2 linked regions of the Caenorhabditis elegans genome follow. The protein of the gene in region 2 interacts with the protein of the main gene of each other region in a pairwise test. Each region holds a gene or a part of one and is shown on either strand. Other genes may lie near its edges.

The links.
Region 1: the proteins of atz-1 (region 2) and F26H11.4 interact in a two-hybrid assay, tested with the Caenorhabditis elegans proteins (2 studies listed by BioGRID).

The regions. Positions count from the first base shown.
Region 1 is NC_003280.10:14,407,071-14,412,711, reverse strand, and holds F26H11.4 (ULP_PROTEASE domain-containing protein), read right to left. Parts: upstream 4,101-5,641; 5' UTR 3,962-4,100; coding exon 3,927-3,961; intron 3,881-3,926; coding exon 3,607-3,880; intron 3,455-3,606; coding exon 3,227-3,454; intron 3,208-3,226; exon of another isoform or gene 3,144-3,207; intron 3,000-3,143; coding exon 2,800-2,999; intron 2,753-2,799; coding exon 2,299-2,752; intron 2,247-2,298; coding exon 2,155-2,246; intron 2,114-2,154; coding exon 1,903-2,113; 3' UTR 1,870-1,902; downstream 1-1,869. Other genes in the region: Chloride intracellular channel exl-1, read left to right, coding at 128-472; dsb-2 (Double-Strand Break factor), read right to left, coding at 581-667, 716-907, 950-1,331, 1,386-1,504, 1,548-1,610; nurf-1 (DDT domain-containing protein), read right to left, coding at 4,954-5,312, 5,361-5,491, 5,540-5,641.
Region 2 is NC_003282.8:12,372,475-12,378,995, forward strand, and holds atz-1 (Protein atz-1), read right to left. Parts: upstream 3,648-6,521; 5' UTR 3,580-3,647; coding exon 3,284-3,579; intron 3,233-3,283; coding exon 3,155-3,232; intron 2,804-3,154; coding exon 2,371-2,803; 3' UTR 2,207-2,370; downstream 1-2,206. Other genes in the region: wdr-46 (WD repeat-containing protein 46), read left to right, coding at 1-161, 209-474, 741-1,524, 1,894-2,205. UniProt on the Caenorhabditis elegans protein: Plays a role in meiosis, germline development and oocyte morphogenesis. May play a role in DNA replication.

The DNA.
Region 1 (5,641 bases), on a different chromosome or scaffold from region 2:
ATGACACGGCGCGCTCCAATGTCTCTGGCGCTCGTTCTCGAAATAGTCTTGAATGCTTATCTCTTTATTCAATCTGAAATACAAAATCAGTTTGAGGAAAAGAAGAAAAATTAGAAAATTTTTTCAGGCTTTCAACACGGAACTCCTTCGTCTCGACAAGTATCTCTCCGAACAAGAAACCAAATTTCTGATCTCCGATGACGTCACGCATATTGATTGCCTGGTCCTGACGAGATTGCACTCGATCCGTGTTGCCGCAAAAATGCTGAAAAACTATGAAATTCCAGCCGATTTATCGCATGTACTCGACTATCTGAAAGCCGGTTACGCGACTGAAATGTTTCGAGTTTCGTGTCCATCCGATCAGGAAATTGTTCTTCACTGGACAGAGCTCAAGGATACGCCCCGCTTGTCGGCTAAAGACCGAGCTAAACTGGTCCGCGAAGAGCCGGTATTTTCATTTTCCGTCTGATTTTCCTAATAATCGAAGGCTCTAATAAAATGCTTCTTAAATATACTTGAAAAAAAATTTACAGATTCAAATGATACAAGTTTAAATTTTTAGAATTTTTCCAAATAATCAATCTTCTGGAACAGAATCGTGTTGCTCAAGCTGTGGTTGATGAAAACGATCAAAGAATATATCGTTTATTGGTGGTTCGGTGACCTGGAAAATTACATTCTTTCCATTGTTTTTAGACAAATATATTCTCACATCTTCCAATCCCTCTTGTTCCGCTTGTGGAATATACTGCAGTGTATTTTCTGCAGCAGCGACGGCTTTGATAAAACTTGGGTTTTCGATCATTTTCCTCAGTGCTTTTCGCATGCAATACTCATCGTCAGCCAGCAAATCGACCAAATCCTCAGTTTGAATGCATTTGTCGGCTACTTCAACGCTTAGAGACTGAAAAATAGTTTTACAGAAAACAGTATGGTACTTTCCTACTATTTGGTTCGACGAGGACTTTTTAATCGTCAATAATTGGTTGTCTGGAAATCCAGTCGGCTGGGACGGCTGGAACGCCGAATTGCACGAATCTCCAGAAAGTTCCAATTTAATGGTTGAAAAAACTCTCGGCTGAGAGGCTTGTTGAAATGAAGTATATTGATTGTAGCTGTTGTTGAACACTGCTGTAGAATCTCGACGCATTGGTGGAGGTTGGGATGAACTCGATTGTTGGGAGAATTTCACGATTGCGGTGTCCAGCAGGCATCCCAATGAATGCATGATTCTCAGAAATTGTTCGCGTTCTGTTGCGCCGAATGTCAATCGAAATCCATCGCTGGTACTTTCACTGAACATCACGTAGAGATGCCGTTCTCGGGAACTGAAAATTGATTTTTTTAAAATTTATTTAACACAAAATAATTGTTCGGCTTACAAAATTCTCGGAAACTTCTTGGAATCATAGTGTAAATCCACCATCTCTCTTCCGATTCCATTGCAGATGACTGCGAACTTTCTTTTATGTCCGTCGATAAGTATAGAGACATCGCTAGTCTGAAAAACTCAAATAAAAAAAACATATTTACGCGAAAATTACCTCTGCTTCATTTTTTTCCGCTAATTTGTAGTACATCTCAACTTTCAGGCCACGTGCACTCATTTTTTTTCTGTAAAAATTGAGATATTTATTGAAATAAACTGATCAAAAATGAATTTTTTTTAAACGAATTCCGGAGCAAATAAATTTAAACAACTACGGTAACAGCCATTTTATATGTGTGCGCGTTGCGAGACCCAGCATAAAACATCGCGCAGGTCCCTTCAATTAACTACTGTACTACACAAAATGTTTCTGTGTTTCTCGAAAATATTTTAATTTAAATAATAGTTCCTGTTTTTCTCCGAAAAATTGTTTCCCCTCAATTTCAATAATTCATTTTAAGCTACAAGTACTATTTCCGTCCTTCTGCTGAAAAAGAAGCCGATTTCGTGTCAGATTTCGAGTTGGCCGAGTTGGTCACAGTCTTTTTCTCGTCGCCCTTCTTCATTTTCACCCATTCACACTTTTTGAACGTTCGCTCCGGTTTCAAGTTTTTGGGGTGGCACTTTTTGCAGCTGTGGCTTTTGTCGTCCTCTCTCACCGGTGGTCTTGGTCGATTTTTTCTGCAAAAAATCATAAGGCTTCGGCTTAGTCTCAAGCTTACCTGGAGTAAATAAACAAGATTGGTTTCGGAGGGAAACTAAAGTTCACTTTCACACTCTCTTCTCCGAGAGACTTCAACTTTGGTTCCTCTTTCTGAAAACTTTTAAAATTCGCAAAAAATATATTGCTAGTCAATAAAGTCTACCTTCTTTTTCACCTCTTCAGACGCACTCTTGTCTTTTTCAAACATTAGGGTTCCATAAAAAGTGTTTGTACACAATCTTTTCGATGCCTGTTCAGGTACATCGGTTCCCATCTGTTTATCAACTTGCTTAAACTTTTCCAGTGTGTCAGAGTCCGGTTCACAAAACGGCAGTGTTCTTGGGCATTTCGGAAGGAGCAATGACGGATTTCCTTCAAATGCTTGCTTCAGCGGCCGATGAGCCTGAATTTGAGCCTTCGGAATGTCATCGTCACTCGGCAGTCGTGCCAACCAAAATGGGAGCTTTTCAACAAAAACCTCTCCTTTGCTACACTTGTTTTTATCACGAACAGTAATGTCGTTTTTGCTAAAATAACATTCAAGGTCCGGCATGAAATCGACAGGGTTCACTCCATAATCCGGTGGCACGTACTTTTTCGACAGCATTGCTTTAGTTCTGAAAATGTTTCACGGTAGGGATGCAGTCTGGTTTGAATAACTCACGGATTGGCGATGCCATCCGACTTTCGGCCCCATAGTTTAGCCACATTTCTCAAGAGCCCTTTTCGGTTTCGTTTTGAGCTATGCTTCCGTTGGCTCGACAAATTTTTCTGTGCTGGACCAACGCATGGCTTTGGGCCTACATTCTTCTTCCGCTCACTCAAAGGAGGTGGGGGTGGAGGACAAGGTAAAGAAGCTGCTACCTGGAAATTTAAATTTTTATAAAAGCCCAGTGTTTTTTCGTCAATTTTCTATGGAGCCTCTTGAATACGCAAGCTCTCTCACTCTCTGTCATTCTTTTCATATACTCTCGCTCGCTGCACGTTACTCACCGCACGGATGGTTTACTGGGTCTTCTGGTACTCGTATGGGTGCGTGGGTTCGAATCCCACTTCGTGCAGAAATTTTTGGCCTTTTCTAGATAGCTCACCGGTGGAATAGTGACTCCTTTCAGCGCGGATCGTCTTGCTGTGCCGTTTTTCCCCTTCTTACTGTTCTTCTTTGCTTCTTCTGAATTCTTGGGGTCTTTGCCTTCTTTCTTCTTCCTATTTGCTTCTTCTACCGGAGCGCTATTATCATCTTTTGCAACTGGTTTTTGCAATCGGTCAGCAACATTTGGAGTTGAAGCTGGCTCATGTGCTTTTTCAGCGACGTCTTCCTGAAATTTTAGTTTACCCGGTTATTTCATATTCGATTCATGTTCTCCAATTACTAAAAAAAAACTTGAATGCAATAAAGACTCTTGTGCTCCTTAAAAGCGCTCACTGTTTTTCATTTAAAACAATGTCTCTCTGCTCCTCAAAAACTCACGACAAGAGTTACATCGACCGTTGCTCCGATTCCTTCTTGTACAGTATCCACCGTTGTAGCCTCATCCTGTCGGTCATCATCGTCAGGATTATCATCAACGATATCGATGACGATCTGTCCTACAAGATCAAACATGTCACCGGATTTTTTCTTCTTCAGGACCTTGTCCGACGGGAACTTCGGCTTGAGAATTGACGGCAACTCAGTAGCCTTACTGTTAAACGGCTCAGTTGGCGCAGTTGCTGTTTTGCTTTTTGAAACTTGTTTCTGATCACTGAAAATAGAAGTTGTTTCTTCGTTCCAAGACCGCTCCGGCTTACCTATTCTTTTGAACTTTTTTCAGATCGGAATCCATTTTGTAACGAAGTGATATAAAAATTGAAATGACCAGAAGTTTCAATCTTCAAAAGATTTCATCCAACTTTATACGAATGGTCCGAAAATATATATAAATAAACTTTTGAACAAGATCACACGTCAGATTGATAGGCGGGGGGGGGGGGGGGGGAGGACAGGGAATAAAAAATTTAAGTTCAAACTTTTTTATTAATTTTTTTTGTTTTAATATAATTTTAAGACACAAAATTATCCGATTTTTCCACCAAACATACAGTACCCGGTCTCGACACGAATTACTTTTGTTAAGTACGAACGGGTGTGCGCCTTGAGAGAGTACTGTAGTTAAAACATTTAGTTTTCTGATAAACTTAATCGATTTTCTATAGTTTTTCTCACGATTTGGTAAAAATTATGCATTTTATTGTTAGATTTGAGTTTTTATTGAAAAACTAAGCTAAAATCGGGGAAATTTAGCAGCAATTAATGTTTCAGAGTACAGTACTCTTTAAAGGTGTGCACCTTATCGCATTAAAAAATGTAGTTTCGTGACCAATTTTTGAAACCAAAGTGCAATCGCGCTCCAATTCCAACGGAAACCAAGGCGGCAAAACTGCAAATTCAAACGCTTTCAATACATTTTTCGTCGATTTTGCCGCTTTTTGTTCTTTCCTAAAAATTATAAAAAATTATGCAAAATTATGCGATTTTTGCACCAAAAATACGGCACCCGGTCTCGACACAATTTTTTTTTTGTTAAATAAACGGGTGTGCGCCTTTAAAGAGTGTTGTAATTAAAAATTATAGTTTGAGTCAAAAATTGCTCCATTCGATTATTTGTCATGAATTTTCACATAAAGCGGAACGTTTTTATTTAGCCGTGAACCTGTGCTTTAAACATTTTTCATTGAAAATCGAAAAGAAATTTTATTCTTACAAAACATTGTCAACGTAACAAGTGAAAAGTCACTGTGTGACTACGAAAAACATAAAAAAACAAGAGGAAAAATCTCAAAAATCATAAAGTCTCATAAGATTCGCATCCAGTGGCAACAGCTGATCCGAATCGATATCCAACGAGTCGACAGTTCGCTGGCTTTCCGACTGGACACGCTTTCTGATAGAACTCATCGGGTCCTGTTGTTGAGCAGTAGCTAGAAGAAGCATCTGTTGACGGGCGGTCATTTGCTCGCGAACGTCTATCAACTTTTTGTCGAACACTTCCTGCATCGTTTCGGCGCACTTGAATACAGCATTGCCCTTGGGATTGTAGGTTTTTGCATTTTCGAACATTTGATTCACGTCGTTCACAAATTGCGATAGATACAGGTATTCGGTGCGCTCAACCTTTTTTGTTATTGTTGAGAGATCTGAAAAATTTCAAATGCAAAGTTTGACGACGTTTCGGAAATACTAACCCATAGGCTTCTTGATGAATTTCTCATAATCTGGGAACTCATTCAAATCTACTGGGTTCCTGAATGGTGTGCTCATACGGTGTTCGAGGAGAAGCTCGAGGAGCTCAAAGACATGAGTATAGTCGGCGCGTCTGAAATTTTTCCGAAAAACTGAAAATTCTAACAATGTGTGAACTCACGTTAATTGCACACTAACACGACTCGAACCCGACACATCTGACGCTTCCGACTCGTAGCCTTCAGCCTCTCGAGTGCATGCCGGGCAGTTGTAATCGGCGGCC
Region 2 (6,521 bases):
TAACAAAAGAGCAGCTTGAACGACATGATACAGGAGCAGACCAAATTGATCCATCTTCGATGCGTTCAAAGCTTCAACAGGAAAAAATGAAAGTGACGAAGGACAAGTTTCAGAGAAGAATTGAAGCTACCGCTAAAGCCGAGAAACGTCTTGTTGAAAATGTGAGTTGTTCCATTGCTACTCAAATATTCACAAAATATAATTTCAGACCGGATTCGTAGCCCCCGACGAGGAGGATCACTCGCTGACCTACAGCATCCGACAGAAAGATATCGCTGAATCAGTTGATTTGGCTGCAGCCACAAAACATTTCGAGTTGAAATTGCCACGATTCGGACCATATCACATTGATTATACGGATAATGGAAGGCATTTAGTGATTGGAGGACGAAAAGGACATTTGGCAGCACTTGATTGGCAAACCAAGCATCTTCATTTTGAGCAAAGTGTGATGGAGAAGGTTTCCGATGTGAAGTAGGTTATGGCGTCCAAATTTCTAAAACTGTTTTACGCTGAGACCTCTTTTTTTCGCTGATTGAAGTGCTTTTTTGTGCCTATAAGTCACACAATACCACCGAATTTGGGCAAAATGCACCTCAATCAACTTAATAAAAGCGTATTTTGTTAAAAGGAAATTTTCAAGATGATTTTGTAAAAAATTCGGTAGCTTTAGAACATATGGATGCTAATTACACGTTTAATTACATTTGTTAAACATTAATAACAACGATTAATTTCAGATTTCTTCATACGGAAAACTTCATCGCAGTCGCCCAAAAAAACTATACTTATGTATACGACAACTTGGGTACAGAACTTCATTGCCTGAAAACCATGTACGACACAGCTCGCCTCGAATTTCTTCCCCATCATTTTCTGCTCGTCGGCTCTTCGCGAAATTCGTTCCTTAACTACGTGGATGTGTCTGTTGGAAAACAAGTTGCCTCGTTTGCAACGAAATCTGGAACTCTTGATGTGATGTGTCAGAATCCGGCAAATGCCATTATTCACACTGGACACACAAATGGAACCGTGTCCTTGTGGTCTCCCAACTCAAAAGAACCACTTGTCAAGATTTTGACTCATTTGAGCGCAGTCAAAGGAATTGCTGTTGATGATCAGGGAAATTATATGGCGACCACGGGTCTCGACAGGAAATGTCGTATTTGGGATGTTCGAATGTTCCGTCAACTTCATGCATATTCACTACCATTTGGAGTGTCGAACGTGGCAATTTCTCAAAAAATGAACGTTGCCTGTGCAGTTGGAAACCATGTACAAGTGTTCCGTGGAATGCATAATGGGACGTGTAAAGAGCCGTATTTGGTGCACAATTGTGGAGGTGTGGTCACTGATTTACGATTTGTTCCATGGGAAGATGTGCTCGGAATTGGACACGCAGGCGGATTCACGAGTATGTTGGTGCCAGGGGCAGGAGATCCGAACGTTGATACGCTCAGATCTAATCCGTACGAAACGAAATCACAGAGAAAGGAAAGAGAAATCAAACAATTGTTGGATAAGGTATGGAATTTATTTTATTCGATTTTGATATTTGAAGTCTGGATGTCAAAAACTCTATTTTTTATGATTTTATCATGAAAATCGAAAGCACCTCACCAATAAAAAAGAAACCTTTAAAAAATTTTCTCCAAAAAAATCTTGATTTCTCTATATTTCATGAAAACTTTAGTTACAAAATTATGTTCAATCTCGAAAAAAATGAGATTTTTTTTGAAAATTTATTTCAGACTACTTGGTTCTAAATTTCACAAAAGTTTTCCACGGAAAATTCGGAGTTTTCTTATACTACAGCAATTTAGAAGACCCTTCTTTGGCAAGCGAAAAAAATTTTTGCAAAAATTGTAATGCTAACTAAATTCTAATTTTCAGATTCAACCGGAGCTCATCAGTCTTAACCCAGACGACATTAACAAGGTCAATGAGGGACTTCTCGAGTTGGAAGAGGAAGAACGAAAGAAGATTCTCTACATTCGTCCGATGGCTGTTCAATATACGCCACGTCACAAGATGCGCAGCAAGAAGAGTGGTTGGAAGATGGAGGCTCGTAAGAATATTGTCAAGGATCAGATTCGAATGGAACGGAATATGGAGAAACATGCGGTGGAGAAGGAAGTTTTTGAAGCACCGGAAGTGGATGACGAGGCTCCGAAAAAGAAACACATTCTGGATCGTCTCAAATAGAAGGATAATCAATTTTATTTTTTGTTGTTGTTGATTTTGCGTTATTTTCGTTTTGTTTTTACTGAATTTTTGAAATTATTTCTTTAAAAGATTTGACATTTGGAAATTTATGAAACGAAGGAAAAAACAAACAGTAAAATAAAAAAGTAGAAACTAGTATGTATTTTATTCGTAATCTTCCTCTTCTCCCTCCTCATCATACTCTTCCTCATCCTCAAAGTCTTCTTCAACCTCGTAGTTCTCCTCCTCTTCATAATCTTCTTCCCCTTCCTCTTCTTTCATAAGATCGTCATTCTTCTTCTGAAGATCCGCAATGATCTTCTTCTGGGCTTCCAACTGCCCCGTCGTCTCGATCATCATCGCCTGGATCTTCAACGTGAGCGCCTCTTCGAATCGATGCTTGTCCTCCAGCTCTTCAAGCCGTTTCATATAGACTTCAGTGAGCTTGTTCGCATCGTCGACCTGTTTCGTGAGGCTCTCGATGGCCATCGTCTTTTTCTTGGATTCTCTAGCAGCACTGTCCAATGCATTAATCGTCAATCTCAAAACACCCTCTGGTGGAATACCAGTTTTCGCTGCTGGCATCAAATTTTTGATTCTGAAAAGTGTTACTTTTTGCATTTGTGCTTGTTATTATGGGGACGCAAAAAATGGTTTTTTGAAATCATCAAGGCACAAGCGCGCTCCAATGATGGGTCTCATTAGGTATTGGCAGGAAACTCGTAAATTCAAACGTTTTTGTTGTTATTATCGATTTTAATGTCGAAATGGTCTTTAAAGATGCATTTGAATAAGGGTTTCTCGTGTATTTTACATGATTTGTTTCGACATAGAAATAGTGGAAAAACTCTTGAAAAAATTTGAATTTCTGATTTTGCCTTCGCCAATACCTAACGAGACCCAACTTTAGAGGCGTTGCGTTTTAACTTGGGTAGGCTCCGAAACTCACCGTTTTTCATTCTCAGGATCTGTGCTCTCACCAAGGTTAGCCACAAGTAATTCGATTCTCAAGAATGTCTGATATGACCTGAAAAAATAATTCGATAAATTTTAGGAACTCAAATTCTTAAAAACTCACTCATCAATTTTCGCATCCCTTTTCTGCTGTGCTTCCCTCAAAAGTTTCTCCAATCGACCAATTTCCTCATTTGCTACTTGTTTTCCTTCTTTCGTCTCCTTTTCAAGATCCGAAATTCTTTCCGTGGCAACTCTCAATTTCTCACTCAAACATTCCACATATTCGACATTCGAATCAGTCTTCTTCGCATCGAAAAGCTCTTTTCGTTGCTCCAAAAACTTTTCAGTGAGCACTTTGAATTGCAAGTTCTTCGCGGCAAGCTCGGTTTGCACATTGCGGAGTTCGATCGAAGCCATTATTTGAATATTACAGACAGAAAAAGGGTGACAACCAGTCGATAGGGACCTGTGCGAGTGAAATGAGACAAGAAGAGGAGCACTGCTAATAGATGGTATCTACCGTAGCAGTTGACCTTTCCAAGAGGTAGACACGTCATCATTGTCTGACATACTATGTTTGCTCTCTCTCTCTCTCTCTATATGGTCTCGAAGGGAAGGAGATTAGGTCATAGGAGACGTTTATTGGAATGAAACACTTCATTAAAAAGGGTAATTAGTGAACTAGATGAGCTAAATGCATATTCAAATTTGTAAAAGGCCACCTAAAATGTTATGCATTGTCAAGAGAAATGGCAGTACTACCTAAACTGTGGCTGTGAAAATTATCTGGATTAATTTTTTGAAACCTAAAGAACGGTCATTGATAGTCAGAACTTTAGTTAATATATTTTTCTTGCATTTTTACATTTTTTGGGTAAAAAAAGGTGTCATGTTCAAAGTTTCCATTAGTTTTCAATATCTGAAGCTCTTTTTACCAAACGTTGAATCAAAAATAGGTGACAGACATTATTCCAATTTCAATTACCAACTTGTATTCTAGGCATTTTCTTTCTGCTACAAACTTTCTGCAACACTTTTTTTTGTGAATATTAACCAAAAAGTTGGCATGACAGACGCCGAATTAAATAGTTGATTGGTCAGATAACTGTATCTTTTTTCTCATGTTATCAGTGAAGCAAGAATCAAAAACTTTCAATAAACCGAAAATAGTTCATTCGAAAAAAAAATTATCTAGAAATTTCAGTTAAGTTTTTGGTAAAAAATTCAAAAATTCAACAAAATTGAACGGTATACGACGAAGGTTTCAAGCACACGAACATTGTTGAGTTGTCAAATGGATAAGTGTATGCACCTGGACATGCATTCTTGAACATCTTCGTTGTAGAGCTCATTGTGCATTTATCTGGAGAATCATACTCCCCACGGCAGCATTCCTTATCAGTTCCATATCCAAGACATCCAGATTTACACCCAACAGTGTAACCTGAACTACTCTTCACTGCAAGTTCTGTAGGGCATGCAGCATTTACATCAGAGATGCATCCACCGGCTCTTTGACATCCCAACCCATCAATTAACATTGGGAGATTGTAACCATCGATTAGATTAACTGCATAAAAGTCTCTTCCAGCCCAAGATTTCAAATTGAATTCTGCGACAGATGCGGGTGGAGTTCCTGTCCTTCCATTGCATTGTTCTGCGTTCTGGAAAAAGTGTAAAACTCTCAAACCTTTTTCATTTTTTTTCAAGACTTCGGGTATTCCCAATTTCGGATGTTTTGAAACTTATTCAGTATATGCGTGTGAATTCTGCGAAACGTTTGAAACTTCCTGTCAACATTTACTGTTGAGAAGCTTGCCCAAAGTTTGGCAGAAAGTAGCAAAAATTTGGCAAAAAGATTATATAGTTTCGACGACCGTAAAACGTGCCCAGAGTTTGACAGAAAAAAGACCAAAAATTTGCCCGAAAATGAAAATGTATTTTGGTAATAGATTTTGGAATATTCATCAAAAAAAAAATGATGTACGTCCTTGACAATTCACGACTTTCAGATATTCTAGAACATCTAAAGTACTTTTTCGTATTTCCCTTTTACACAATTTTTTGGCTGAACTTAAAAAATTGTTCAAAATGTTTTGATCAAATATCCCCAAGTGTTTATTTGTTTCAAAACTTCCATAGAAACTTATACTTTCAAAATGATACACTGTTAAAGTATAGATCTATAGACTTCAAAAAAGTTACATTCAAACTACGGAAAACTCACCAAACAAGTTCCAGTCTCACAATTGAAATCTCCATCACATCCAGTCCGTGCCCAAATCTTTCCATTTCTCCAATCATCATCCACATTTAAATACTTTGCCGCCCACGCATCTATTATTATAGACTACGATTGTCCGGCTGTTCACAGTGAGGAGCAGAGATATAAGTAGAATCCAGATGGAAATCATCTGAAATTTTAAATAATTGCTGATCGATTATGTTTATAAAAATTGTTTGCAAAAATATTCGTAAAAGACTACTGTAGTCAACTTCCCGTAATGTAAAGTGTCTTCCTTACATACTTTCCTTTCCGATAACAAAAGTTTGTCCAATTTTGAACCAACTGTAGCATTGTTCCTTAAATACTCCTCTAGCTGATCTAAAGACCAATCGAGTTCGCACCGCCCGTTTATTTTCAATTGAACATTTCCTGCAGAAACTCCACTGCTTTCTGTACCCATCGCATTTTTCTCAATTCATGGAGTTGATTCCATTTCTGATTACCTTCTGATTGGGACAAATTCGTTATCAGTGAACAGTTCAAAATGAAAGTAAATACGAAATGAGAAGATTATAAAGATTTTTAAAAAGAATTCACCGGAAATGGGCAGAAGAAAACCACGTGGATCGATCAAACGGAAGGTTTCCAACAACTGTTTGTTGGAACATTTTGGATCTAGAGGTCAGATACACTACTGCTACCGCAAAACTCTAATTTGATGACCCAATCTTAGGCGTTTCCTATTTTTAGGTTAACCAATGATTTATGTTTGCAAATAATTTTCCTAACAAATTTTTTTCGGTGCCATGAAATTTCCGTTTAAAAAATTTTATGGATTCCTTTACTCATTTAAACTTCCATACATGTGTAAAAAATTAAAAATATATTATGCAATCGTTTGAAATAGGAAACGGTCAGATTTTGACTTTTGTATGGCAGGTATTCTCCAGAAATTACATTTGCAGTCAATTGATACCGCTCTTCCACATGTTGAATGAAATATGTGATTCCATCTTTGTTCGGAGTTTGTGTTCATTCAGAGATCGCTTTTCCTCGCTTTCGATATGTATGTAGATGTGACTAAAAAAACTTAAATTCAGAATTTCAGAAGTATTCGCTCCCGGAATTCAAA